3 linked regions of the Nothobranchius furzeri genome follow. The protein of the gene in region 3 interacts with the protein of the main gene of each other region in a pairwise test. Links are inferred from orthologs where the notes say so. Each region holds a gene or a part of one and is shown on either strand. Other genes may lie near its edges. The genes, in order: id2a, id1 and myod1.

Region 1 (3,705 bases), on a different chromosome or scaffold from region 3:
AGTGGGTCAGACCTCCAGCCTTAATCCCATTTCCACGTGAGAAAGTAAAAGTGGAGTCTGGTCCTCCAAACAACTGTTCCTTCTGGGAGATGTAGTCTTTTAGATGACATGGGTCACATAAAAACACCTTACTGGACTCCAATTGTCCCTGATGTCAAATCAGCGCGCGCGCGCCTCTGGATCAGCCGATTTTGCGCTCCACACCCCCAAATATCCCCCCTTAAAATGAAACATGTTCACGTTGTGTTTTTAATTTATTTTGTATAAAAAGGTACAATTTACATTACTTTTATAAAAAGTTTCAGCATAATTAAGTACAACATTACACTTTTTGCAGAAGTTTCAAATTCCTGCAACTATACAAGATTTTAACTCCCGGTGAGAGTTCACAAAGTTTCATTTGATCCTTTTTTTGTTTTCTTTCAAACATCGTCCAGTCCTTCATGTGCCAACAATTCTGACAAGACAAGACTAAACCTTTATTATTATTAATATTATTATTTTACAGTAACTAACCAGGTTGCCTGTTATGTACACGTTCCCACCTCCGCAAAAAAAGCGAAGTTCAACAAGGAGAATTGGGGGACACAAGGGGTGAGGGAACGGGAGTTAATCCTTGTGATTCCGGAACATAATGCGCCTTCCATTTCCAGAAAGGACCCACAAATAAAGAAGTCTTAAATTAAATAACAAGGTGTCCAAACAGAAAACACATCACATAAAGATTGTCCCATAATAAGCAAAAAAAAAAAAAAAAAAAAAAAAAAAGTCTCTTGATTTCAGCAGAAGTGGAAAAAGAAAAAGTCCAGGCCTGGAGGACAGAGAGGTTGAAGAGGTGGGGAGGAAAGTCCTGCTCCCCAGGTCCTGTGCGCGCGCGCACGCGTGTTTTTCTGCGTCTTGACCAAACACCTGCAAAAGATTGAGAAAGAGAGAGAGGCGTGTTTAGAAAACGCACACAGGGCAGAGATCCGGACAGACTGGCGCCAGGGAGGAAGCCGCAGTTTTTTAACATTTAACCAAACACTCCCAATGCTAAGCAAACCCTGCGCTCCAGATGTACACACACACACACACGATGGGAACGGGGGAGGGGCCGCGTGCACGCACGCACTTTTTCGCACAACTTCAGCCTACAATCTGGGGAAGAATCAGCGTAATTGCCGCTCAGCTGGCGCCTACCCACTTCTTGTACCAATTATGTGCAGACATCGTAGTAGCAGTAATCCAAACAGCCATTATTTTCCTGTTGCAGATGCTCTTCATTACAGACACAAGAGGCAACACCACTAGGACAACAGTAGAATGGGGGGGGATTTCTTTCAGATCCAAACTCAAAATCTCATTTTTTTTTAGGATTATTTTGTTTTTGGTCGATCTAACTGCGTTTCTTTCACACCAACACCGAGAAAAGACGCATACTGAAATCATTACAGCAACGTGAGACGTCAGCAGGGGAACAAATGGATTGGTGAGTGGTAATTCTATTCCATTCTGCTCTAGCAGACTGGGAGACAGGCTGGAAGAAGCCCTGGACAGACTGCAGCAGCAGACACGAGGACAGCCTACTTACCGCTTTAACGATGCAGGGTCCGGCTGTCATCTGTCATCAGCTCTGACGGCAACTCCGGGGACTGAAAACAAACAAACACACAAACCAAATGTTAAAGTCTCCGCGCAGACGTCGGTTCAGTCAAGGTGCAACAATCTGGGCGGATTTTTTTGTCTTTGTGAACAAAAGGAAGACAAAAAGCCATTTTCTTTCGCCCCCAACAAGCCATTTTGTGCGCATCGGCAGAGGCGCGCCGTTTCTGCGCTCAGATAATAAAAAAGACACCTTAGTGGATCTGTGCGTGTGCGCGTGTATGAGAGTGTTTTCAGCTCCGGTGTAATTACCTGTAATGACAAGATGCTGATGTCTGTGTTGAGGGTGGTCAGGGGGGTCCTGGATGGAGTCTGCCCCGGCCGCGCTGGGTGATGCAGGCTGGTGAGCGCCACGCTGGAGTCCAGCGCGATCTGCAGGTCCAGGATGTAGTCGATGACATGCTGCAGGATTTCCATCTTGCTGACGTTCTTGTTCTGTGGGATGCTGGGCACCAGCTCCTTCAGCTTGGAGTAGCAGTCGTTCATGTTGTACAGCAGGCTGAGAGGGTCGTCCACCGGGGTCTTGCTCCGAGAGATTCCCAAGGAGTGCTCCGAAAAATTCGCGTTGTTTTTCCGGAAGGATCGCACGGGGCTTATTGCCTTCATTCTGTCAGGAAAGTTAGGAGGCGTTTGCGTCCGCTCTTCTTTCTGGTAAGTCCTGTTTTAGTCAGACGATCAGCGATCAGACTGGATTACCTAGCTGTCAGTGTGGTTTATATAGATGACAGCCCGTGCTTGTGACGTGGGCGGGTCAAACGCGCTGATAGGGAGTATCCAAGCTGTCACTTAACGTGTTCTGCACCAACTATTGGCTTCTCTCGCTCGAACCACGCCCACTCTCCATCACGTTACCACTGGCAACGCATGTTGGAGGCGGAACACAGAGAGCGCTCCAGCAGCTCCGGAGGGCAATTGGGAAAATTAAGCCCTTACCTGTTTCTGCTCAAGAAAATTAATGATGGATATGAGTGGACAGGAGCAAGACAAGGGGACGTTTTGGTGTAAATCGTGAAAGCTTTTGTGTATTTGAACTATTTAAAAGCCAAACGGGCTTTTTAAATCGCCTTTGTGATCGCCTTTCTTGTGGATGACAGACTCAGATGTTTGGCGATCTGGTCACCAAGCTCAGGCGCGTCTGATCATCCCTAATTTACATCAGCCCGCAAGTTTGTGAGGAACCAAAATCCCAGAGGGTCCATCAGGACAATAAAATCGCTTTTACCTGCAGAAAAAAAAATCCAATCTTAAAGCGTTTGCGCTTTTACGCGCAAAACGTGCGTAAAAAGTTTGGAGACGCGTTTAATAGTAAATTTGGCGTATACAGTGAATAATAATTTGGAAATATAACAGAATCTAAAATATAATAAAACGTATCCTGTGCACCTTGATGGCCGTCGGCATTGTGGAAATTGAAAAATGTGACACTAAGCACGTGAAAAAAGTGATTAATAACAATTGACATTTTAATGCTTCCTGAATGAGCCATTTGTTTGTTGGAATTACACGCTCCATTCTTCAGCTGGAGTTGACAGGGGTGCTGTTGGAGCCGCTGCAAAGTAATTACCCCCAGGGGCCGGTGAAGGCTTTTGGGATGTGGATTGGGGCTTTAGGTTTGATCCATGGAGCAACCCACGCGTTCCTAAGGAGATGGAAACTACATTTTCATGAGTGTTAGAAAATATAATTTCATTTTCAGGTAATTTTAATATACTTAACACACCAGAAAGAAAGAAAACAAGCTTTTGCATTATAAAATGCCGATATAGATCGGAGATGCTGGAACCCAAATAAATGTTCTATTCAGAAAAACACAATCTGTGCTTCTGTTTTACGCGCGGTTCTGTTCCTCCTTTAGTTGTTGTTTTATGCATTTCTAACATAATCTGAAACTCCTGCAGTCTGCGTCCACATCTGGCGCCAAAGAATTGTTCCATTTTCTCCCGTTCTTCCCATCGCTCCCACAGCTGTGAACTCATTTCGCACGACGCCCCTGACTGATGCCTGACAGCCAGGTGATGAATTGGCGCAAGACCACATCGGTGCAAATCTGAGCGCCCCACTGGC
Region 2 (3,066 bases), on a different chromosome or scaffold from region 3:
AATGGAAAGAACATGTTTGGTGTCGGCCATAGAACAATCGAGATACGACCCTTTGAGTCTTCATGAAAGTTGAAACAGTCTGTGGGACTTTAAAATGATCTACCTGCGCCCTGAAGAGTCATACCAGCTTTGGTCTTTTGATCTTTAAAACAACATAAATAGGTAAAGTGGATGACAATAAGCAAAACTATTTTCTGTTGATATTCTGAGAGTTCAGCCTAATAAAACTTTTGTTTGTAGAAGTTTTCCTTCATCTTTAAAGGAGATCTGGGAGCTGAGTGGAGCTTCAGGAACCACAGGGACAGATTTAGTAGTGAAAGTGGGCTGACTGGAGGAATCCAGCGGCTGTCTGTGTGAGAATGTGGTAACATCATAATAAGGAGTCCTCCTCCTCCTCCTTTGTCGCTCCGCTGTTACCCGGCTGTCCTTTACTCTGCAGGTGCGGGGCGGTAATCTCATCCCGCCGCTTTAAGGTGATAAATGGAGGAGAAAAGGTTCCAGAGCCAGTTTGTTCTCAGGATCCTCCACGCAGGTGAATGGAGGAGCGCGAGCTTCCTTGTTTGACATCTCCACAGAGACCGCCCGAGCGGCGCCAGGCTGACAGGCGTCAGGGCTCGGATGAATGGGTGACGTCACCACGCTGGCGCCTGCCAGTCTGCTCGGGCTTGTTTGGACAATCTGGGAGGAGGGAGGGAGTGATGTGATCTGAGTGTGCACACATGTGAAGGAATCTGCTGCGTTCTGGGAGAATAGACAGTTTTGAGTTCTTCTGCTGGACACATTTAATGTTTAATAACCAGGGAAGTGAAATCAAGCCTCGCCCCCAACAGGTTCACCTTCACCTTCCCCGGTTACTGTCCCTTTGTCCGCCACATCTGCAGCACCAACTATTGTGAGAAGCAAATCTGGGGCACTGTGGTAGCCTAATTGTCAGCGCCATTCATCCCATTCACTCCGTCCCATCCCACACACCCTACCCGGCATGCACCGCCCACCCTCCGTCCCCAGGCAGTCTACACCTGCAGAGTACCCAAGCCGCGGACAGCTGGATTCCCACATATTACCCATAAAGACACACATTTGTTTCCATTTGTAACGCCATCCTTCTAACAGATTGTAAAGTCTGATAACCAGTCGCGCATCCTCATTGGCTGAGAGAGACGCACAGCACCGCCCTGTCAACACAACCGCACATCTCTCATTGGTTGACTGCTTCAAACTGGACCGCGCAGCCACGCCCCCTGCTGCTGCATGCCTATAAACCAGAGGAGGTTCCTCCATGTCAACTAGACAACTGTCAACACTGACTGAGAAGATCTCTGAGAGGAGAATACTCTTGACTTACGCCTCCTAATCAGCACAACATGAAGGTTGTTGGATCTACCTGTGCCCTGAAGACCAAGGTCGGGGGAGAGATCGGCCTGTCCGAGCAGAGCCTCGCCATCTCCAAGTGCAAGATCCCGCTGCTGGACGAGCAGATGAGCGTCTTCCTCCAGGACATGAACAGCTGCTACAGCAAGCTGAAGGAGCTCGTGCCCACCCTGCCCACAAACAAGAAGGCCAGCAAGGTGGAGATCCTGCAGCACGTCATCGACTACATCTGGGACCTGCAGGTCGAGCTGGACGAGCCGGAGAAGAGCCGCCAGCACGCCGTCAGCGGCGCGCCGCGCACTCCGCTCACCACGCTCAACTCGGAGCTCGCCAGTATCTCAGTGGAGGTAAACATCCAGTCAGTCACACCTGTGGTAACATACCTGCGTGGCTTACGTTTAACGTTTAAGTCGATGCGCAACATGCGTGCGTAAAAGCTGGTTCGCCATCTGTGACAGATCATAGATTCAGTGTGTGTGTGTGTGTGTGTGTGTGTGTGTGTGTGTGTGTGTGTGTGTGTGTGTGTGTGTGTGTGTGTGTGTAGACTACATGTTCTAACCTCCTGGTGTTTTCCTTCTCCTTCCTGCAGAACGGATGCTCGGACGACAGGATAATGTGCCGCTAAGATCCAGTGGAGCACCTCCCCATCATCCCACCGTCTGCGCCCGCCAACCAGAACCGACAAGGCGACTTGATGTGAATCCACATCTAAATCCTGAGCCTTGAACTGTGTAGGGACGTTTGAAACTCCCAACTGTTAGAAAAAGGACATCCTCAGGCCGAGATGGTCTCAACCAGCTCTCGATTCCTCCGAGGGCTCCTGGGACCAGAGGAGCACCCGTGGTGTCCAGATGCAGAAGACCGGGTTAGTCCGGGGGACCAAGACAAGTCCAGAGCAACCAGCGCTGCTCGTAGAGTTTTACGTCTCTGTTACACTCTGTATAATCACGTGTACATCATATACAGATCTCAATATTTTGTGAAAGGAAAGCTATTTCTCAGATTCCTGAGCGACCAAACTGTATTGTATATTACAATGCCACATATGTGAAGATATTGTTTCTTGCAATGTACTTTATTTGCGTTTTTATTAAAACAAGAACACTATTTTTGAACAAGAATGCCCGTGTTGTGTCTGTTGATATGAAACCAGAAGGAGAATGAGACAGATGATGTAGTTCTGAGGCTAACTCTGACCTCTGCTGTCAGAAGCTGCAGTCATCCAGGTGCCACCAGGCTTCAGCTGCAGGTAGACTAACATAAAGGCTGTGCGGGTCCCTACAGCACGGTGTCAGGTCAGGGGGAGAGTTTGTCACTAACCAATGCATTAATTTCAGACGTGATAAATTAAACATTAGCTCAAGCGTTCATAAAATGCTCGGTTTAGGGGTAAACACCGTGAAGCGGAGTCCCCGCCGGCTCCGCGGGGGTTAAAGCGGCTCTGGTGTGGAGATTTATTCCGTCTCCCTGGTGCGATGTTTTTCCCATTTCCCTGCGGTGCGATGCGCACAGCTGCAGCCCGGCGTGGCCAGTGCGTGATTGTGTTTGTGTGATAGCTTTGTGCCAAGGGCAGGGGAGGGCGGCGGGGCCCAGACTGAGCGGCGCCGCGGCACACCTGGGGAAGTTCAGGTTAAATAGCTGCACATTCCTCAACACACAGCTGATTGAAACATTAACAAACAGTAATCCACGGGC
Region 3 (4,320 bases):
AGAGTGAAAACATCAAAGAAGAGTGTCTAAAGCTAGACATATTCATGAAAAACTTTTAAAAATAAAGAAAATGTGAATTAATGAATTAATTCAGAATTGTTTCTATTTTATACGAAATTAGCAAAAAGAGTTTAAATAAAAAAGAAGTTCTATTTAAGAAGAGATCTTTGAAATAAAAGACTAAAGAAATGTCCTGACCCTTGGATCTGTTTGTTAATGTTAATAATATGAAATCTAATGTAAAGTAGCAGATGCACACATTTTGACTCCGGTAGATAGAGACGTGCTAAATGAGCTCACCGTCTGTTTGTCTGACATAAGAAGAATCGCTGTTTTCACTTCTGCTCGAACATGGTGAGATGAAATCCGCCTGAAAATAAAACGTAATCATCAGTGAGTGTTTAAAACCTCAGCTTTACTCAGACTCACACCCACAACACGTAGAGATGGACAAAAAGAGACATTTCAGGTTCAAAAGTTCATTAAAATTATTAATTTTTAGCACTGTTTTGAATAAGTAATATGTTCAAGTTAAAACAAATCTTATGATTAACAACAGCTCTGTGATTACACACACACACACTGGTTGGATTTAATGAGTATAATTTAGTGATTTCTTTAGAACATGTCTTGCACTGTAAAAAAAAAAGATTAATTTTATTATTATTAAAGATGTGCTCTCACCCCACATCATAAAGTTGAGATGTCTAAATATAATATGTATATATAATATGTTGTTTTTAAATGTGTAAATAAAACAAAAACTGGTGTTCAGTTTATTATTTAGAAAGAGAAGAATTTGATTTGATTAAAAAAACAACTAAATCAACAATGTTGGTTTTTGTCCACGGTAACTCTCACAGAGTTAAACATTTCCCCTCCTGGTACTCTAATGTGCGCTACTTGCTCAATGAAATGATGAAAATGATAAAAATGTTACGTTAAGTCAGAAGAACGGTCCAGGGATTAGAGATGACAAATAACATTTTGGTAAATATGACACATCAACAGTAAGCTGATAATACTCACCACCACCCAAATCAAGTAAAGCACATAAAGTTTTCAGCCTGAAATAAATAACTTCAGCATCAAATAACACCTTTTGCTTTAATATTAGTCAATTCTGTAGTAATAAAACAAAAAAAGATTTTTTTTGTAACTGAAAGACAACATTTTGACAAACTTTCTGTTTAGGTGCAAAACATTTGAAATCCACTGGGATCCATGCTAAAGGTTGCATTTGTCCAGATTAATCACCGTGGCCCAAAATAAATCTCCCGTCACATTCCTTACATTTCGTGGGGCAGCACATGAACCCTTCAGCTGTTCCCAGACTCACCGTGCCGTCGGAGCAGTTGGAGTGGGTGCCGGGGGAGTCCGACCCCCCGCTGTAGTGCTCCAGCGGCGGGTAGAAGCTGTCGTTCTGGCCGGCCCGCAGCAGCGCCTGCAGAGACTCGATGTAGCTGATGGCGTTCCGTAGGATCTCCACTTTGGGCAGACGCTGGTTTGGATTGGAAGCCGTGCACCGCTTCAAAGTTTCAAATGCATCGTTGACTTTGCTGAGCCGCCGTCTTTCTCGCATGGTGGCTGCTTTCCTCCGATCTGCGTGCGTTGTCTTCCTCTTGCAGGCCTTACAGGCCCACAGCAGGCAGTGGCCCGCCTGATGGAGGCCTCCAGGGGCCCGCACATGCTGGTCCTCCTCCTCTGATGATGGGACGTGGTGATGAAGGTGGTCCTCTGACTTCAGCAGGCCGCCGTGTGACAGCCGGGCATCCAAATCATCGAAAAAGTTCAGGTCGCTGGTGCTGAAGCAGGGGTCATAGAGGTCATCAGTAGATGAAAGAGGGAAATGAAAATCTGACAAATCCATTGAACGACTCCCTGAAAGCAGCAGCAGAAAGTCTTTTTGTTGTGACACTCCTCTGATATCAGACTTTAGAAGGAAATCCTCATGAAGTGTCTCCTAGGACGACTCGCAAATCTCAAACTCATCTGACCAGAACATAGTAAAATGACAGAGCGTTTAAAGGGCCAGTCTGTGTAACCTCAGCTGCTTTGGCTTGGTCCGGGTTTATATAGCAGTCAGTGTGGAGGCGGGGCCACGACCCAAGTGACCAATGGTGCAGTCGGGTGTGAGTGTGTGTGTAAAGGGGACGAAACATAAAGAGGAAGCAATAAAAACGACAGTCAAGTCCATCATCACAAATCAAAGAGTCAGCTGTTGAGTCCTTGTTCAACTCTGAGGGATCAAACACGTCATCACACACAAAAAAGAAAAGACTGAACCTCTTTACATCCAGACTCATCAGCTCAAAAAACGTATCTTATCCAATCATGAGCGTTTAGAACTCCTGCGCTGAGATTCAGGATTCATCTGAAATGAATCTCCTCTTTCATGAGATCGGAACAGGAAAGATTTGTACTCATGAGCTTTTATCAGAGAACCCAGACATGATTTCAGCGTTTACTAGACCTGATAGAGTTGAGCTCACAGCAGTCTCAGCATCAGAACAGTTTAGTTACTTTATATCTTCAGTACTGATCTAAATGACCCGAGAAACACACTAATCCTAGTCCAGCACAAATATGTGAAACGGTATTAGTAAAATGCTCTGATTCAGTCATATGCTCGATGTTTTTCAACACAAATATTTAACATGAAATGTGTTTTAGAAGTCTTGAAAAACATACATGAAGTGTCTCTGACATCATTTGTCCAATAAAAAGGAACCATAACATTTGTCTTCTTTTGGAGCCATGATATTGCCTTTTGGTTTCCAATAACTAACACAACTAAACAAACTATAACACAGCAGGGCAGAGACCCCTGGAAGACTGCATCTGAGGTAAAACTATCGTATAACCTCGCAAAACCTGAATACTTTTTGTATTTTTTTTTCTATAAATCTTGTTCAGATCAGTAGGACTTTATAAAAATTATAATTTTTACACAACTTGAACACAACACGTCATTGCACTTCATTTGTTTTCCTAACATCAAAATCTCAACAGGCATCTAATATTCTCTCTCTCTCTCTCTCTCTCTCTCTCTCGCTCTCTCTCTCTCTCTCTCTCTCTCTTTCTCTTCTATCTCTCTTTTCTTTCATTTCCCTCTCTCTCTTTCTTTCCTCTCTCTATTTCTCTCTCCCCTCTCTTTCTTTCTTTCTCCCCCCTCCCTCTCTACTCTCTCTCTGTCTCTCTCTTTCTTTCTTTCTTTTCTCTCTCTCTCTCTGTCTCTATGTAGGCATGCATGTGTGCATGTATGCATGTGTGCGTGTGCGTGTGTGTGCGTGTGCGTGTGCGTGTGTGCGTGTGCGTGTGTATGTGTATGTGTGTGTGTGTGTGTGTGTGTGTGTGTGTGTGTGTGTGTGTGTGTGTGTGTGTGTGTGTGTGTGTGTGTGTGTGTGTGAGTGTGTGTGTGTGTGTGTGAGGGAAAGTGAGACACAAGAGTCAGACAAAAAATATTTTCCGTCATCATCATCGTGGTCTTTATTGCCAGTAAACAGCTGCTGCTGGACTCTGGATGATGACCTGATGTCTGATTTATTTATTTATTTGTTATTTTTATATATGAGAGCATTTTAGAAACATCTGCAACACGTCATCCGAATCATAGATGAGAATTTCATAAACTGTACTCTTTTCCTGAAAGTCTTGAATGAAGAAAACTCTTTTAAATTTTTAAACATGTTTCATCTTTTCATTTTTTAAATTTGACTGAACACAAACCGGTTTAAGGTAAGGCTGCCTTATATTCACAATGCCATTCAAAAACATTGTTTTCTGAAAATAGCCAAAAAACTAAACATCCACTGATTTTTGGGGAGTTTGTTAATGAAAAGTCTGGTTATGTTAAAAGCTTCAACACATGATCATGTTTCCAGGTTTGTTAACCCCCCACAAACTGACCGATGAACATGAGCACATCCAGCCCAGTAATGTGAGACATAGAATTTCATCTGCAGTGACTGAAATGAATCTGAAAGAGCATTCCTGTGAAGGTGTTAATCTCACGGTTTCACATGTCCCACCTCATGCGTTCACAGACATGTGAAACTGCAGTTTCCAAAGAACCGCATCCAATTCTTGGTAATATTTCTTATTTTATCCATTTCCCCCATGGGTAAATTATTACTGGGACTGGTTTAACATCCAGCTAACATTAAATAGTTTAAAGCCCAAGTTCAAAAAGAAACCAATTTTTACTTGTAATTTGTTAAATATGATCTGTCCAACTGAGTTTAACATACAAGCTGAATGTGAAAATAGTCTCCTACCCCATTTCCTGCATTTGCCGCCAGTAGCAAACAGACAGGAAAA

The links.
Region 1: the proteins of myod1 (region 3) and id2a interact in a two-hybrid assay, tested with the Homo sapiens proteins (2 studies listed by BioGRID). The link is inferred for Nothobranchius furzeri from reciprocal best matches to the Homo sapiens genes MYOD1 and ID2.
Region 2: the proteins of myod1 (region 3) and id1 interact in a two-hybrid assay, tested with the Homo sapiens proteins (5 studies listed by BioGRID). The link is inferred for Nothobranchius furzeri from reciprocal best matches to the Homo sapiens genes MYOD1 and ID1.

What each region holds. Positions count from the first base shown.
Region 1 is NC_091758.1:30,331,879-30,335,583, reverse strand, and holds id2a (DNA-binding protein inhibitor ID-2a), read right to left. Parts: upstream 2,466-3,705; 5' UTR 2,248-2,465; coding exon 1,894-2,247; intron 1,632-1,893; coding exon 1,575-1,631; 3' UTR 1,571-1,574; intron 910-1,570; 3' UTR 597-909; downstream 1-596. UniProt on the Homo sapiens protein: Transcriptional regulator (lacking a basic DNA binding domain) which negatively regulates the basic helix-loop-helix (bHLH) transcription factors by forming heterodimers and inhibiting their DNA binding and transcriptional activity.
Region 2 is NC_091743.1:40,070,910-40,073,975, reverse strand, and holds id1 (DNA-binding protein inhibitor ID-1), read left to right. Parts: upstream 1-1,264; 5' UTR 1,265-1,364; coding exon 1,365-1,718; intron 1,719-1,960; coding exon 1,961-1,996; 3' UTR 1,997-2,492; downstream 2,493-3,066. UniProt on the Homo sapiens protein: Transcriptional regulator (lacking a basic DNA binding domain) which negatively regulates the basic helix-loop-helix (bHLH) transcription factors by forming heterodimers and inhibiting their DNA binding and transcriptional activity.
Region 3 is NC_091749.1:52,557,196-52,561,515, reverse strand, and holds the start of myod1 (myoblast determination protein 1 homolog), read right to left. Parts: upstream 2,946-4,320; 5' UTR 1,871-2,945; coding exon 1,340-1,870; intron 371-1,339; coding exon 301-370; intron 1-300. UniProt on the Homo sapiens protein: Acts as a transcriptional activator that promotes transcription of muscle-specific target genes and plays a role in muscle differentiation. Together with MYF5 and MYOG, co-occupies muscle-specific gene promoter core region during myogenesis.